Canis lupus familiaris: one gene and its partner. Each later gene encodes a partner of the first gene's protein in a complex. Links are inferred from orthologs where the notes say so. Each region holds a gene or a part of one and is shown in the gene's direction. Other genes may lie near its edges.

The links.
Region 2: the proteins of AP1G1 (region 1) and AP1S1 are in contact, whole or in part, in a crystal structure (PDB 1W63), measured with the Mus musculus proteins. The link is inferred for Canis lupus familiaris from reciprocal best matches to the Homo sapiens genes AP1G1 and AP1S1. Residues at the interface, in NP_001288140.1 of Mus musculus: Leu7, Arg8, Ile11, Arg12, Arg15, Leu54, Tyr55, His57, Met58, Gly60, Tyr61, Lys78, Phe79, Thr80, Arg83, Ile84, Leu87, Met90, Leu91, Asp94, Glu95, Thr115, Phe117, Leu123, Cys124, Gly127, Cys128, Tyr152, Lys155, Lys156; in NP_031483.1 of Mus musculus: Met1, Leu14, Arg15, Leu16, Gln17, Lys18, Trp19, Leu21, Ala22, Thr23, Asp25, Arg28, Lys29, Arg42, Lys45, Met46, Cys47, Ser48, Phe49, Glu51, Lys56, Gln74, Asp75, Asn76, Glu77, Leu78, Ile79, Leu81, Glu82, Leu83.

Annotation. Positions count from the first base shown.
Region 1 is NC_049226.1:78,102,638-78,111,483, reverse strand, and holds part of AP1G1 (AP-1 complex subunit gamma-1), read left to right. Parts: intron 1-3,267; coding exon 3,268-3,390; intron 3,391-3,562; coding exon 3,563-3,652; intron 3,653-4,246; coding exon 4,247-4,374; intron 4,375-5,704; coding exon 5,705-5,809; intron 5,810-6,466; coding exon 6,467-6,608; intron 6,609-6,795; coding exon 6,796-6,922; intron 6,923-8,846. UniProt on the Homo sapiens protein: Subunit of clathrin-associated adaptor protein complex 1 that plays a role in protein sorting in the late-Golgi/trans-Golgi network (TGN) and/or endosomes.
Region 2 is NC_049227.1:8,615,981-8,624,824, reverse strand, and holds the end of AP1S1 (AP-1 complex subunit sigma-1A), read left to right. Parts: intron 1-709; coding exon 710-888; intron 889-1,539; coding exon 1,540-1,648; intron 1,649-2,660; coding exon 2,661-2,798; intron 2,799-4,045; coding exon 4,046-4,093; 3' UTR 4,094-4,812; downstream 4,813-8,844. Other genes in the region: neurosecretory protein VGF, read right to left, coding at 6,230-8,083. UniProt on the Homo sapiens protein: Subunit of clathrin-associated adaptor protein complex 1 that plays a role in protein sorting in the late-Golgi/trans-Golgi network (TGN) and/or endosomes.

The DNA of each region.
Region 1 (8,846 bases):
TTTCTTTGGCAGTTGTCCAGAGTTTTAGAGCTTCCCTGTTTATCATTCAGTTAATAGGCATTACAGATTTAATCAAAATGAAAGAACAGTGGCATTTATTTTTTTATTTTTTATTTTTTATTTTTATTATTATTATTTTTTTTAATTTTTATTTATTTATGATAGTCACACAGAGAGAGAGAGAGAGAGAGGCAGAGACACAGGCAGAGGGAGAAGCAGGCTCCATGCACCGAGAGCCCGATGTGGGATTCGATCCCGGGTCTCCAGGATCGCGCCCTGGGCCAAAGGCAGGCGCCAAACCGCTGCGCCACCCAGGGATCCCGAACAGTGACATTTAAAGAAAACATAACTGCTATGTGTAATTGTTGCCACCAGGAATAGCTGCAATAAAGGGAAACTTTCACAGATTTATCACATTAAAAATTGAAACACACATAGCAAAAGGAAAAAAAACCTACAGAGTTAAAAGGCAAAGGCAACTAGGAGAAAAATATTGTAACATATGACAGCATGTTAATATCTTTAATCTATAAATAATTTACAATTAATAGGAAAAATCAAACATTGTAATGGAAAAATTGACATTTCAACAGACATTTCACAAAAGAAGAAATGGCTAATTAATTTTGAAAAATACCCTTATTAATAAAGAAATAGTAAAATTATAAGTGAGGTATCCTTTTTTACTTGTCATACTTTTTAATCTAATTCCTAGTGTTAATTAGGAAATGAAGAAATAGGCAGTACTCTCCACTTCATAGTGGGTATAAAATGTTGCCACCTTTCTAGAATTATACTCGGGTACGTGGGCCAAAATCAAGAGTCAGACACTTAACCGAGCCACCCATGCGCCCCTAGTTTGTACCTTTTTTTTTTTTTTTTTTGGTACCTTTTAACTCATCAATTCTCTTTAGGAATTTATCTTGGAAAAATTCAAGGACAACAAGTATACAAAAATGTATATACAAAGATGTTCATCCCAATCTTGTTTTTTAATGGGAGAAAACTGGGAAAAACTACAAGTCTGCAAATGGTCCTTGGTTAAGCAAGTTATAAAACATCTGTAGGAAGGAATGATATCGTTAAAATTGTGTGTGTATGTATGCTTGTTGCTGTGGAATTCTGTCTGTGACATGCTAGTTTTCTAGTTTATTTGAATTAATTTTGTAAAAATGTTAATAAATGCACTTAATGGGAAAACTATATTTTAACAAAAGGTATGAATCAGGATACAGTTTATTAGTTTCTGTAAGGCTCAAAAGAAGAGAACAATTAGAGCTCCTGAAGAAAAGTGTTGTCAAAATTTAAACCATTCTTTTTTTAATGCTCCTACTTTTCATTTTTCCAGTTGACTTAGGTAATCTTATTATGGTCTTGTGATTTTTCCTCTTTAACCTATTGATGTGCTGGATCAAAAATTAATTGATTTTTGAATGTTGAACTAACTAACCTTCCATACCTGGAATAAATCCCACATGGTTGTGCTGTACAGTTCTTTTTATACATTGTTGTATTTGATTTGCTGATATATTTTTTTAAGGATTTTTACATCCGTATTCATGAGAGATACTGGTCTATAATTTTCTTTGACCTAAGTGTTGTTTAGTTGTTTAATTTCCGAATATTTTGGGGTTTCTTAGCTATCTTTGTTCTTGATTTCTAATTAAGTCCTGTATGACTTTTATTCTTTTATTTATTTTTAAAAAGATTTTACTTATTTATTTGAGAGAGAAAGAGAATACAAGCTGGGGGAGGGAGGGGCAGAGGGAGAAGAGAATAAGAATACAAGCTGGGGGAGGGAGGAGCAGACTCCCTGCTGAGTGGGGAGCCCAATCTGCCGCTTAATCGACCTCGGGATCATGACCTCAGCCCAAGGCCGACACTTAGCTAACTAAGCCCATCAAGGTGCCCCTCAGCTTTTTTCTTTTAAATTTGAGATGTTTCTGGGATCCCTGGCTGGCTTAGTCAGTGAGCATGTGACTCTCTCGATCTCAGGGTCATGAGTTCATGCCCCATGTTGGACTTGGAACCTACTTTAATTAAATAAATTTGAGATGGTTTTTTTTTATGGCCCAGAATGTGGTCTGTCTTTAGTGAATGTTCCATTGGAGCTTGAGAATAAGGAGTTTTCTGCTATTGGATAAAGTGGTGTATAAATGTCATTTAGATCATATCGATGCTTTCTCTTATTTAAACACTACTTTTTCCCATTGGGGAAGAATATAAAACAAATTACTTTTTAGCTTCTCTCTGTTCCTTTTTGACCATTTTCCCAAACTTCTTCCTCTTTGTGTTTTTCTAGTAGGTGTGGGCATCCCAGTCACCTGAGGTTTTTTTCTTTTTCTTCTCTGTTCCCCCCCTCTCCCCATCTCCCCTTTTCCTTTTCCTTTTCTTTTTCCTGGTCTCATTCTTGTAAATCAGACCTGTTCCTCTGTCCAGTAATGGGAGCTTGATCAAGGTGGGCTGATATCAGGCACAGATTCCACTGTTTGTGTCCTACACAACTTGGTTATCATAATGCTCTGACAAGGCCAAGATTTAGTTTCCTCACAGGTTGAATAACTTTACTTTGTTCCATGGTTGCAAATAGTATCTTAGATTCTACTAGTAAAGAGGACATTAAAGAGACTAGATTTGTTTTTGTTTTTAAAGTGTGGATGATTAAATACAAAATATTTTTGACCTTTCTGGGATGAATGGTTCTGTAATTTTTATAAACTATAGTTCTAAAGGACAGTGCGATGTTTTAAATTGAAGTTTTAAAAAGGTTACAGTTTATTTAATTCTTATTTTAACATGCTGTCCTTTTGGACTGTTGACGTACACTCTCCTCTCCATCCTCCAGAGTAGTTTGGTTTCTGTAGCTAGCCCATATGATTTTAACTGTGTTGAAGAGTTGTGAGATGGGAGAGGTTGTTGTAATTAAGTTCCCAGTTACTGCATTTCTTACATTTTTGAAATCTTAAACCTAATAATCTATTTTGAAATAGAAAAGTTCTTAAAATTTTAATCCTTTGTTTTTTTTTTTTTTTACTTTTACAAAGGAGATTTTTTTTTACTTTTTTTAAAATTTGAAAACTTAGAATACTCATTTAAATAAGGAAGTCATCTGAATAAGACTTTGAAGTTTGAGCTGCATATGAACCTGAGAATCGGAACCCGTTTTATCTTTGAGGATATTTCGTAGCAGTCTTCTTTGAATAAAAGCAATAGCTAACATTTCTTATCATTGTAGTGTGTTTTAAGGATAACTGCATTTCTTTTTAGGCAGGAAGCTACGTTCGTGATGATGCAGTCCCCAACTTGATCCAGTTAATAACCAATAGTGTGGAGATGCATGCCTATACTGTCCAGCGCTTGTACAAAGCAATTCTTGGTGATTATTCTCAAGTAGGTACTTTTTACTTTGGTAGGGAAATTACCCATTACGTTCCTGTGTGTTCTTGTTACTAACACTCTAGATGTGCCTTGATTTTGACCTTTATGATTAGATGACCTGGGATTTGCATTAATCTTTGCAAGGATTGAAAGCCTTTGACAAATGGTGTCTTTGTTTTGACAGCAACCTTTGGTACAAGTGGCTGCATGGTGTATAGGTGAATATGGAGATCTTCTTGTATCAGGCCAGTGTGAAGAGGAAGAACCTATTCAGGTACCCTTTGCTACTCTCTCAGGAGGGGAGAAACTAGTGTTTTTGGTTATAGGAGGATAATGTTTTATGAGTTGAGGTCGATTCCGTGGAAACCTGTTAAAGAAGTTAATGCCAGAATTCTATTGGGAAACTTGGCAGTTTTTGTGATAGAACTTACTATCCTTACTGTGTCGGGATAGAACCTACTCCTTACGATATGAGACTGAATTATATTGTTTCTCCTACGCTGTGGCTTGATAAGAAATGAGACCTATCCATATCAGCATTTGCTTATTAAAAGACTGGGTTTTAGGAGATGTGGTAGCAACAACACTTGTACTCTATTTATCTTTTTATTTTCTTCTTTACTTCTGCCTCTTGCAATTAATATAATATGGCTCTCAGCCTCCAGTGGGTATTTTCCACTCTTTTTTTTTTTTTTTTTTTTTTTAAATCTCCTACCTGCTTCTGATTGATGGATCAGCTTGGACAGTTACTGTGGCAAAGCACAGATAGTTGTTAGAGTTTTAGTAACGATGGTAGGGTTGTCTTTCTGGTGGCATCCTGTGACTTGATATCAGATTTAGATATTGACTTTTTTTTTTTTCTCCCCAGGTAACAGAAGATGAAGTGTTGGATATTTTAGAGAGTGTTCTAATCTCTAATATGTCCACCTCTGTGACCCGAGGTTATGCTCTCACTGCCATTATGAAGCTTTCTACCCGATTCACCTGTACTGTAAAGTGAGTATGGAGAAAAAGTAGGATGAACATGTTATTTTGTAATTTTTAAAACTCTTTATTATAGAAAATTTAAAGGAAAGGCAAAATAGGGTCGTAAAATGAATCATATATAACTCTTATTCCACAGTAATAATCATTAATTTATGGTTCATCCTTATTTTATCTATACTTTACTCCCTTGTTTCCCACATCCCACCATTTATTATTTTAAAGATAAAAAGTTATGGGTTTTTTTGTTTTTGTTTTTGTTTTTAAAATCAGGTATCTGGGCAGCCCGGGTGGCTCAGCGGTTTAGTGCCGCCTTCAGCCCAGGGCGTGATCCTGGAGACCTGGGATCAAGTCCCATGTCAGGCTGCCTGCCTGGAGCCTGCTTCTCCCTCTGCCTGTATCTCTGCCTCTCTCTTTCTGTGTCTCTCATGAATAAATAAATAAAATCTTACAAAAAATAAAATCAGATATCTAATGCCTTTTCTCTTTTTTAAAGTAGAGTAGTTACTTCCCTCTATAAGGGTTCTGGTTTATTATAATATTTTGAGGTATCTGAAGAGGAAGAAAATCACAAAGGTTTGGGTGGTTCGTTAAATGTTTAAATTCTGCTCTTCACTATTTGGAATGAAAGTCAATTGGATTAGTTTCTCAGCCAGACATATTTAAAGCAAACTTAGTTCTCTTAGACTTTCTGTAGTTCTGTGAAAACTAACCCTTTAAATGGTGAACTAGAAGAATTTGTTGTCAGGTAATAACCTTTTGTTGATAAAAGCTTATTGTAAGGTTGTTAAAGAAGAGAATGAACATTAATATACTTGTTTTGTAACAAATTAATAATTGATACTTTTTTCTAGCAAATTTTAGGTATGGGACATCTAACAGAACAAGTACTAGTGGTAGATGATGGTGTTCAGGTGTATGTTGGGTGTAAGAAGATAAAAGAAAAGTGTAGAGATTATAGGGGAAAGGAGAGAAAATAAGTGGGAAAAATCAGAGAGGGAGACAAAACAGGAGAGACTCCTAACTCTGGGAAATGAACATGGGGTAGTGGAAGGGGAGGTGGGGGGAGGATGGGGTGGCTGGGTGACGCGCACTGGGTGGGGGCAATTGACTGGGGGGGGGGGCAATTGAGGGATGAGCACTGAGTGTTGTATGTTCGCAAATCGAACTCCAATAGAAAAATATACATTAAAAAAAGGTGTTTTGTCTTTGAAAAGATATGTAAATTAAGGAAAGAGGAGTATTTCGGATTTTTAACCAGAAAACTGGTTTGTTTGTTCTCTCTGCTTGTTTACGAACTTTCTTTTGGGTATTTGAATTTTTTTGTCATTTTATCCCAAAGCCGAATTAAGAAAGTGGTTTCCATCTATGGGAGCAGCATTGATGTGGAACTCCAACAGAGGGCAGTAGAATATAATGCACTTTTTAAGAAATATGACCATATGAGGTAAGTGGAAGAAACTAATCAATGCATATGGCTGTTAGCATGTGAACAGATTGTCTTGATAATCCACAAAGGAGACTCCTTCCTCATGCTTTATTACTGGACTTCACAACTCTGTTTAATCCTAATTGCTTGTCTGCTTTTATTTGTCCATCTTCTCTTCTGTCTACCTTGTAAATTATCTGTGTCCTTTCATTCACCTTTTCCCCTTTCTTTTGGTGTGAAATATTTGCTTCATTTTCCATGTTATTTGGTTAAGAAGTGGGAGTTGTGTTTTTTCAAGAGAATCTCGTCCTAATATTTAACTTTGTGATGCATGGTCTTTTTTCCACTTCTGTTATGCAGTGTCTTCTTGATTGGAAATGGCTAATACCTACTTATTTACCTTTCTTTCATTCCAATTTCTGTACCTCTGAGAAATCCCCATCTCTCGGGATTTAGGTGGACAGTTTGTCTATTCAGGGTTTCTCGCCTGCCCTTAATCCAGTCAGGAATTTAGGTCATGTATTCTTGTAATCCACCTTCTATTCTAGTGTGTGTTTTAGAGGGTGGGGAGCAGAGATAACTGTCCATGTCTGGCTCTAATATAGTAACACTGATTGTCTTGGGTAGGGAATCTAGGTTAACTGCCTAGAATTTAACCACTTCAGATTCTTCCAGGTCTGCCCTGCTTGAGAGAATGCCTGTCATGGAAAAAGTGACCACAAATGGCCCTACTGAGATTGTGCAGACAAATGGAGAGACAGAACCTGCTCCACTAGAGACCAAACCACCACCTTCTGGGCCACAGCCCACCAGCCAGGTAGCTTTTCACTTGCTTATCTGGGAATCTTATAACAGTTCCTTATAACCTGTATCTCAGCTGATTGCCTTCAACGTTCCTGGATTGATTGAGGATTCTCTTCCTTATTTTTAAGTGTTGAAAGAGCTTTGCCTTAGATGCAGATTAGATAAATGACTAATGAATTGAGATATTATTCCTTGTTTAGGCCAATGATTTATTGGATTTGTTGGGAGGAAATGACATAACACCTGTTATTCCAACTGCACCTACAAGCAAACCAGCTTCTGCTGGTGGAGAACTTCTTGATTTGCTGGGAGACATCAACCTTACAGGTGAGACCAAACTGGAGTTATTTAATGCTTGGCTGGAGATAAAGGCCTTGGGGAAAAACTACAGTGAACATAGACTTCCTGGCACATGAATCAGTTAAAGAGGGGGGAGGCTGAGTCAGGAGTGGGAAGAGAATCTTCACAATATCTGGATTGTAAACTGTCATGCTAGTATTCTAGAGATAATTCACAGAGATTCTTTAAAGTCCAGTATTTAATGTTGGGAGGATAAATTGCTCTCATAGTATTTAGGATAGAAAGGACTTTCAGGCTACAAAAGAAATATATCCCAAGTCACTTCTGCTTTTGGTTAGTGTCCTAAAACATCAGTTTTTCTATGTTTCTTTTTCATAATTTGGTTTCAGGAGCCAAGGCCATTTGTGGAGGGAAGAGAGATATTTAGGTATTTTCCTCTCTTCCTCTTAATAAAGCAATGAAGGGAAAAATTGTCCCTGATGATGATATTCAAATACAACTTTACATTTGGGAATGTTTTTTTCTCATGTTTGTTTATATGTAGTAGACATTAGTTAATTGTTGATGTATTCAGTGACATTATGAACCCCTGAGTCCAAGTGTATCACTGTAGCACATAATTTCTAAAGTGATTTCTTTAAAAGTATAATGGTGAATTACTACGTATTATGACCTCAAATAGAAAATAGCCATAGGATAAGGATTTTGGAAGGATATCTAGCCTGGCTATCAGAGATTAAGTGATTTTTTTTCTAACAGCTTCCTCCCAGAGCTTATGGTTTATATTTATGTCTTAGTAAAATTCAAAATGTTACTTGTTATACACTTTTGAGTCATTCACAAATAGTTTCAATCCCCCAGATGCCACAGCTCTACTGGATACATGGAAAAGCAAAAACAACTCCTTGGTTAAAACATAGTGTATAGATGATACACTTATTAATATATTAGCATTTCCATGTTAGTTCATAATCTTCACAATTGTAATTTTTTAATTTAAAAAAATTTTAAAAGATTTTATTCATTTATTTCAGACAAGAATGTACACAAGCAGTGGGGAGAGGCAGAGGGAAAAGCAGATTCCTTGCAGAGCAGGGATCCCAATGCAATGCAATGTGATGCGGGGCTCCATCCCAGGACGCTGGGATCATGATCCAAGCAGAAGGCAGAGACTTAACTGACTGAGCCACTCAGGCGCCCTGTCAGGAGGTCTTAATGTTTTGTTTTTGTTTTTACTTTATTTTCCTAGTGTTATATGAAGAAGACTAATAAAATGTTAAAGAGCCTGGATTTTCCTTATTCACAGTGTGTTTTAAACACCTTTGCCTGCGCACCTGGGCTGCTCAGTCGGTTAAAGCATCTACCTTCGGCTCAGGTCATGATCCGGGGTCCTGGGATTGAGTCCTGTATTGGGCTCCCTGCTCAGTGAGAAGACTGCTTCTCCCTCTGCCCTTTGCTCATGATCTCTCTTTCAAATAAGTAAATAAAATCTTAAACAAAACAAACACATTTTCTTTATTAGGTTAAACATTTTTGAGTTTCACATTCTTTAAGCCATCATTACAGTCATATATCCTAATGCAGAGTAATTTAAGTAAGTAGAAATTAGGAAATAAATTTAGTGTGTGCTTTTAGGGGAACTGGAGCAGTGAGTTTTTGTTATTTCCCAAAACTACTTACTGTTCCTTTACAGGAGAAAAGAGCTAAAATCTGAGGGATTTAAGGACTCATATGCTGCCACCTTGTTTTGAGTAGCCTCTGATTTTCCATAGGAATGCATTTCTGGGATCCCTGGGTGGCGCAGCGGTTTGGCGCCTGCCTTTGGCCCAGAGCGCGATCCTGGAGACCCGGGATCGAATCCCACATCAGGCTCCTGGTGCATGGAGCCTGCTTCTCCCTCTGCCTGTGTCTCTGCCTCTCTCTCTCTCTGTATGACTATCATAAAAAAAAT
Region 2 (8,844 bases), on another chromosome or scaffold:
GAGGCCTGGATGGTTGAGGAGAGGAGAGGGTGGAATCTACCCCTGGGCATATGACTAGCACTGGAGGGCAGTGTATTGGGGATATCCACAAGGGTGTATGGCCAGGATGGGGTGGAGAATTGAAGTAGCTTCTGGAGAGACAAAATCCTTCATTTCGGGATGGTGGTGGATAGAAGGACCACAGAAGAAAGCAGACATCTCTTTGACTTCATCTATGAGCTGCTTGTCACTGTGCTGGGCATTTGACTGACCTTTGGAAGGCAGAGGTAGGAAACAAGAGATGAAGGCATGATAATAGTGACACCTATTGTGTTCCAATGCTTACCATGTGACAGGCACAATTGCATATATCAACTCATTTAATCCCTCCAAACAGGTAGGTACTTATATTACATCCATTATACAGACCAGGAAACTGAGGCCCTGAGAGGTAAAATAATTGCCCAAGGCAAATTTCTCAACTCCTGGAGCCAGGAGGATTTGAACCCAAATGACAGACTCCAAAGCTCAGACATGCCCCCAGAAGTAAAGGCACCTGCTGGTGGGGATACTCAGAGTTGACCAGCAAGGGCTGATTTTTGAAGCCAGTGGGAGCTGTGAATGGACAGGGGTTAGCTGCACTTGTAGGACGCATGTATGACTGTGTTTATGGAGTAAACAAAACCAGGGAACAGAATCTCTGACCCTCAGCTCTGCCCCTGCCCCCTAGATGCGATTCATGCTGCTGTTCAGCCGGCAGGGAAAGCTGCGGCTGCAGAAATGGTACCTGGCCACATCAGACAAGGAGCGAAAGAAAATGGTCCGGGAGCTTATGCAGGTTGTTCTGGCTCGCAAGCCCAAGATGTGCAGCTTCCTGGAGTGGAGGGATCTCAAAGTCGTCTATAAGAGGTGATTTGCCGCCTACTTTCACAGCTATCTGGATCCTGCTTGGTGGGGGTCTGGCGGTGGTTCAAATGGCTGAGAAATAAGGTCAGGGAGAACAGGGAGCTAAGGACATCTGGAGGTCAGTGATGGACTCCAGCTTCCTTCAATTTCCAAACTTACCTTGAAGAAATTCTTTGTTTTGCTCCCCGTTTGTTTTGCTCATGCCTGACACCTACTTTACGCACATACCTCTGTCACCAAGGCCCTATCCTGTTCATCGTACGTGTCCCTTGCAGCCTCCCTCATTCGACAGTGATAGATCCTGCACCACCTTTCCCCAAACACACACACACGCACACGCACGCGCACACAGACACACCCTGTCCAGTTCCTTCTCTGAGCAGGTGGATTACTTGGCTCAGGTTTTTGCTGAGTCAAACTGAACAGGTCAGAGGGCAAAGGGAAAGAGCTTGTGTTAGCCTCCGTTTGTGAGAGTCACCAAGAGACGGAGTGAGTTGTTACTATTTGCATACCCTGGGGCCACCCCGCCTATGTCCAATGGACACCAGACCCTGCGCTGGGAATGAGGAATGGGAGGTTTGGGTGCAAGAAGCCTGGATCCTGAAGCAGATGCAGCAGCGCCTCCAGCTACCCCACGTGTGCCCCTGTCCTCAGATATGCCAGCCTCTACTTCTGCTGTGCCATTGAGGGCCAAGACAATGAGCTCATCACGCTGGAGCTGATCCACCGGTATGTGGAGCTCCTGGACAAATACTTCGGCAGTGTAAGTTTCCCCACCCACGCTGTTCGTACCCAGCAGTCCCCTCTTCCTACCAAACCCCGGGACCCTTCTAGTCTCTGCCTGGAAGATTTAGAAGAGGCAGAGTTGGAGTAGTGAGAACAGTAATTAATTCCCTTCTTTAAACCATAAGCCTATTAGCCATATCCCTTAATCAGCCCAGGGGAGGGGTGTGCACCAGAATCAGTCCATCTAGAGCTCAGCTCAGAAGTCTCAAAAGGACGAAGACCACATTCAGATTTTATCACTGGCTCCTGACTTGACTTTGCATTGGATTATTCTGGAGTGTTGGGGGGTTTTCTTGGTTTTTGTTTTTTAATCAGTGATGCCTGGGTCCCATGCCCAGCAATTCTGGGTTAACTGAACTGGGGTATAGCCTGGGCATTGATAGTCAGCTCAGATCTTAGATGGGGAAGAGTAATAACTCCATCACATATACCCCACTTAACAGTTTACAAAGTGCTTTCAGGTTCTTGTGTCTGCTCCTCGTTTAATACTGTGAGTAGGTGTTGTTATCTCAATTTTCAGATGAGAAAACAAACTCAGAAAAATGAAACGACATGTCCATCTAGCTGCGTAGTGGCAGAGCCCTGCTTGGAACTCAAGTCTTTCTGCCCAGGATCTAGAATCTCTTCCTTCCCTGCCCTGTAGTGCCCAGGGAGAGAGGCTAGCCTGGCCCCTATGGGAACAGTGTCACAGATTTTGGGGGGAAAAGCAGCAGGAACCACAGTCAAGGGTAGATTAGGGCAAGTAATATTCCATGTTCACAGAGAAAAAGGCAAGAGGAGAGAAGGAAAAGTCAAGGTACTAAGGCCTAGGGATTGGTGGTGGTGGCGGAGGGAGGGAGTTGATCATAGACCTGGGGCAAGAGCAGGAGGTGGGAGAAGTTGTCAAGAAGAACGTGGAGCCATGATAAGGAAAGAGGCAGGCGGCTAGGGTGCAGGTGGGATGCAAATGCCCCTTGACACTCAACTCTGCCTTCTCTCTGTCCTCCCAGGTGTGCGAACTGGACATCATCTTCAACTTTGAGAAGGCCTACTTCATCCTGGATGAGTTTCTGATGGGGGGTGATGTCCAGGACACCTCCAAGAAGAGTGTGCTGAAGGCCATCGAGCAGGCTGACCTGCTGCAGGAGGTACGGGCCCAGGACAGTGAGGAGGAGGAAGCATACCCTCCCTTCCCTGGACACCTTGCCTGCCACCCATGGCTGCCCCCTTCCAGCCGCCAAGGGGGCCCCCCTCCCTGTGGTGTCCCGCCCCCACGGCGCCCAGTTGGCCAGCTTGCCCTCAAGCACTGACTGCTCAGCATGGGAGGTCCTGGTGGCAGGTAGCCTGCCTGTGCCAGCTCTCCCTCCTTCCCCCAAGACCCAGGGTGTTCATCCCAGCCAAATCCTCTGTGTCCCATCCTTCTCTGGGCATTTAGGACTGCTCAGGGAATTGGAGAGGGGCACTTGAGAGATAATTCTTTTTTCCCTGGTGTCTCCCCCACCCCCTTTTTAAACACACAAGGACACGTACACTCAAAAGCCTCTGCTCCACAGAAGCAAAGGGCTGCGGGGGTTTGGGGGTTGCGGTTGAGGGTGCCTGGCTGTTGGTTCTCCTGCTATCCAACACCCCCGCCCTCACCCCATTACTGCCTGCCCCCTCTCTGCTGTGCCACTGCTGAGACTTGGTGCAGGGAGATGAGTCACCGGAATCTGCAATGACAAGCAAGCTGGCCTGAGCTGGCTCTGAGGAGGGGGAGAGATGGGGGCTCATCTCTGCAGAAGGAGAAAGGGCAGAATTGAACTTGCCACTTCACTGGTCCAACTTCCCCTTCACACACACACACACATACACATGCACACACACACAGTGCCTGGCACATACACCTACCCCTGTTACTAGAGCTCTGCTCAGACCCTAATGACTCATTTCTCTGCAGTATGGTTCACTTTCCCTCAGGGATTTGATGCCAATTTATTACTCCCTGCCCCCACTCTGAATACAAGGACCCGGCCATCTGGCACCTGGTACCCCCAATCTCCAGAAAGCAGGCTTCCCACCCCTCAGCCCCAGCTTCATTCCCTTTCCCCCTCAGAGACCAAGAATGAGCCCCCTGCTCCCCAAGCTTCTGGTTTTAGGTTTTCTGGGTGGTGGTGGACTCAACCAGAACCCCCTCCTTACCACAGTTGGCTCTAGAGGGTAGTCCCTGGAGACTGGGCAGCTCCCCTGAAGGGTCCCTAGCTGTTCTAACCTTGAGCTCACTTTGGCTTTTCTCTCCCCTCCCTGTGTCTCTCTGTACTACCCCCCCCCCCCCCCCTCGTGTGACTGTCGTTGTCTTGCCCACATTCCTTGTCTGCCTGTCCTGGTGTCTCTGCGTCACTCTCTGTCCCTGCCTCAGGAGGATGAGTCGCCTCGCAGTGTGCTGGAGGAGATGGGTCTGGCATAGCCCCCCCCCCTCCCGCCTGGGCCTCGTGGAGCTGTGGGGAGCTGGTGGAGAGGCAGGGCATGAGTGCCCCTTTTCTTGGTGGGACCCAGCTGCCCCTCCTCTGCTGCCTCACCTTCTTTCGGAGTGAGCTGTGGGCTTGGGACCCTCAAACATTCCTTCCCTCCACCTGTATCTCCTCTTTCCCCTCTCCCCAATGAAGGTTTTAGGAGGTAGGAAAATGTGACCAAAATGGGGGTGCTATTTGGCTTTCATTCCCTGCCTTTGAAGAACTAATGTTACCTAAAACTTGTTCCCCTCCCTTCTAACTGTAAATATATAAATACGTCAGGTTAAAGGGAAAAGGTTTTCAGGGCTCTTCTCTTCTCCCTTGCCCCATAACCTACCTCCACCCTGCCCCAGTAGCCAGCCAGGGCAGCTTCTCTGCCTGGGGTGCAGGTGGGGGGGATTTCTGAGTACTGAGAGTCCTCATCTACCCTCTTCGTCCTCGGTCCTCGGCCGCAGTGGGGACTCTGTCCAGTGCCAGGGGAGGAACAACATGGTTAATTTTTTTCTAACCTTACCACTTGAGGGAAGTGAGGGTTGGGGGAAGGGCAGGCTTTATGGGAGACTGTCCCTCCTTCACTCCATGTTCTGGGTGAGGCAGGAGCTAAGGGGTGGGGTGTGGGAAGCATCTGACTTTATTTCCTTTCTTCTGAAATAAAAGGAAAAGCATTTCTGGACTTTGCCTGCTTAGGTTCTGTGAAGGAATGAAAGGACCCTGGGATCAGCACTCATGGGAACACTGCCCATTTACCTCCTCCGAAATAGGATTGCCAGAGTTAGAGAAACACACACAACACACACATGCACACACACATATAGAGGACACCTCATTCAATTAGAATAATAATATTTTTAGGATAAGGGTATCCTATACAAATAGATTCCTTGTTTATCAAAAGTGAAAATTTAACTGAGCTTCCTGTAATTTATTTGGCACCCCTATTCCAAAAGGATTTGTCAGTTCATTGCCTCTCTTGAACATGGTGCCTCCAGCTACCCAGCTGCCTTTGGCCAGGGTGAAACAGCTCCTGGGGACATGGTTTCACTCCTGGGAGGTTTCTTTGTGGAAGATTTCATTCAGCTGGTTTAGTTGTATTTGGAGAGAGAAACCAGGGGTTCAAGGGCATATCCAACCCTGTATGTTCACCAAAGTGTTTAGAAGTGGTGAAAAGCAGGGCGTCTCTGTAGCTGGAGGTTCCTCCTCCCTGTTGTAAAGTGCCCAGGACCAGGGAGTATAGGGGGCAGTTAAGGGAGGTGACAGGATGAGGTGGAACAGGGACTGTGAGGAGCCACCAGTACTAAGTGGCTGGAGGATCATGGATAGAACAGCTTTCTAAGTGTCCTGGAGCTGCCCCTCTCTGGGAACCAATGACTACCTCCACCACCTCCAAGCTAGAAGTGGAATTTAGGCTTTCTTAACAGGTACAGGCCATACTCTGCTCTTAAATACGGTTGAAAGTGGTTCCACCACCCTCGCTTTTGAACAGAAGGAGTTGGTTGTTGTGGCTGGCGCTTCCCTCACCGCCCCTTGGGAAGGACCACGGAGGCCCAAGGGGACGGGTGAATAACGGAGAACAAAGTCCTAATAAAATAGTCACTTTTATTTCTTAGCAAAACTATTTCCTCCGTGAGGGGTATTTACAACAGAGAAGGGAAAGAATAGGTAAATTCACAGCGATCTGGAGAGGGCGGAGAGGCTCCTGGGAGGCCCAAAGGGCGGGAGACAAACACTTCTTCACACAATTAACTGGAACAGCTTTTTCCGGTTTTGGACGGGGACGTCCCTAGAGGGACTAGGTAGGGACAGAGGCCCGTAGGGGGGGAGGGAATTCGCTCAAACCACCCGCCCGTCTGGGGTGGCCCCGGGGGCCTCCTCGAGGGAGTTTGGGGAGTTCGGGCTTCGAATCCAGGAAGCGGTCTGACAGGTCCCAGAGCAGCCCGGGGGCGGGGCGACCCAAGGGCGGGGGCGGGGCCGGGAGGCGGCCGGGGGCGGGGCAGGGGGAAGCATGCAAACATCGAGAGGGGAGGGGTGTAACACGGAGGGGGGGTGGCAGCTCGCGCTGCTGCGGCGCGCGGGGGCGGGACCCGGGCAGGTCACGGGCGCCGGAGCAGCACGTGCTCGATATAATTCTCCAGCTCCTCCTGCTCCTGCATCCGGCGCTCCTCCGCCTCCGCCTCCTCCTGCGCGCGCCGCGCCTGGGCCTCCCGGCCTGGATAGTGATGCGAAGGCGGCAGGGCGTGGTGGTAGTGGCGGCGGCGCGAGGTGGCGGGCGGCTGCAGTGTCCGCGGCCGGATGTAGTTGGGAAAAGGGTGGTAGGGCCCGGGGGGAAACAGCTCGTCCTCCTGGCGATCCCAGGGTGGGAGCACCTCGTTCCAGTCGGGCAGCTCCTCCCGGCCGGGGGCGGGGGCAGGGGGCGGGGGCTGCGGGGAACGGACGTGGGTGGGGGCGGGGGCGGCCCGGGGGTGCGGCACGGGCTCGGGAGGGGCGTTCTTCTTCCGCTTCCGCTTCTCCTCCACCTCCTCGATGATGCTGACCACGTCGTCTGCGGGCAGGTGGAGTTTGGTGGACAGCTCGATGAGGCTGTCGATGGTCTGAGGGTCCATCTCTTCGTCGTCGTCCTCCTCCTCCCCGCCCTCCTCTGCCCCCTCAGCCTCCTTACGACGGTGGCCGGGCATCTCTTCCTGGGAGCGCTTGTCCTCGGCTCCGGCTTCTCCGTCCTCCTCCTCTGCGAACAGCAGCGCGTTCTGCCGCGCCCTCTCCGCCTCCTCCGCCTCTGCCTCCGCCTCCGCCGCCTCCTCATCCTCTTCCCCCACCCTCTCCGCCCCGCCGCGTCGCTCCTGCTCCGCCTCCGCATCCTCCCTCACGCTCTCTCGCTCCTCCTCCTTCTCCTGCAGCCCCCGACCCCCAAGGCCGCGCTGCCGGGCCCCGCCCTGCAGCAAATACTGGAGCAGCAGGTCGGAGGCGAGGTCCGCCAGCCGCTCTTCCTGCGCCGCGGCCTGCCGTGTGGCCTCCGCCTGCCGCCGCCCGGCCTCTACCTGCGCCAGCCCTTGCTGTAGAAGGCGTTCCCCCGCTTCAGAGCCGCCCAGGAGTGAGCTCTCCGGACGGCGCGCCTTGGGGAAAGGGGCACCCAGGCTTTGGTACGCCTTGGAGAGGGGTGCCAATGCCTCACCTAGATGTGTTTTGGGGGAAGACACTCCTTCCCCGAACTGGTGGGCTTCAGGAAGGGGCCCACTCTCGGGCATACGCGCCTGGAACTGCGGGGGAGCTGGGGGTGGCAGGGGCGCGCGCTCCGGGACGCGCGCCTGGAACTCTCCCCAGGAAGCGCGCCACACACGCTCCGGCCCGGGGCTCTCCAGGTTGACTCGGGTCAGCGTGTGCGTGCGAGTTTCCGTCTCTGCTGCCGCTGTCTCTTGCTGGCGCTTGGCGCTGCTCGGACTGAAATCTCGCAGTTCCTGGAGCAGGGAAGCTAGCGCCTCGAGCTCCTCGGAAGGGTCGCCAGCCTCGGGACCATTCTCCTGAGTCTGAGGGCGAGGCGGGGCCACAGGTGCCTGGGTCTCTGGCGCCGGGAGGCTGTGGGTCTGGCTGCGCACCGTCTCAGTCAGCAGAGCTTCTGCTGCTTCTTCCTTTGGCCCCTGCTGGGAGCCACCGGGCGCCGGAGGCGAGGCGGGGCGGTCAAGTGCCTGCAGCAGCACCGCGGCCAGCGCCCGGGGATCCACGCCCTGGAAAAGCTCTCCCTCATCCTGAGGCTCAGAATTTCGAGCCGTTCGGACCTCTGGGGCGCTAACATCCTTCGGCCCGGGCACTGAGTCCCCAGCTACCGGCTCTTTATGTTCAGAGCTGAGGGGAGGTGGCTGCGCCTCAGGGTGCCCTGGGGGCGCTGCTCCCAACCCCTTGATCAGTAGAAGGAAGCAGAAGAGGGTGGCAGCCGGCAACCTGAGCGATTTCATGACCAAAGGACTGCCGGAGACTGAAAAATAGAAGGGACCAAAGAAAGAGAGGGTTTCTGTAAGAATTTTCCGCTCTCTGTATCTATACCCCCTTCCCCCACCTTTAATCAGGAAATCCAGGGCTTCCCTCATCCCCCTAACCTTACCCAGAAGAGGGACGTTTAGGAGCAAAGGAGGAAGATGTTGTGCCGATCTCTGGAGTCGTGTAAACGGGAAAACGTCCGCAACCCGCGCTCCCCCCCCAGTGCCTCCTCGCCCCCTTGCCTAAGCCATCTCACTGCCAGCGCCCACGTACTAAGCAGCTAAGATAAGGGGGGGAAATCTCTGCTCCCTCCCCACAGGACTCCCCGGATGGTGCGTGGGCGACTTCAGCAGCAAGAGAAAAGCGGCGACTCCCCCATTTACCAGGGACCCTTACCGGGGGCTCCCCGCTGTGTTTTTAACACCCCCATCCGGGAGGAGAGAGAACCCTCCCTCACGCCCACGGCTGCCGAGGGTTTGAGGGATGGACAGCGGAGTATTTACCAGCTGGTGTCACGAAGCGGGAGGTGGAGAAGAGGGTCGGGGCAGGGTGGGGACAGGGGAAGATCGGGACGCGTCCGCCTCGGCTCCGAGCAGTGGCTGGGATAGGAGCGACGGTCGAGTTCTGGCGTCCAGTGGGTTGGGCTCAGCTGGGTCCGCGCGGCTCTGGGCGACTCGCTCGCTCCGGCTTCAGCACGCTGGACAGCGCCCGCGCCGCTGCCGCCTTATAAAGGGGAGAG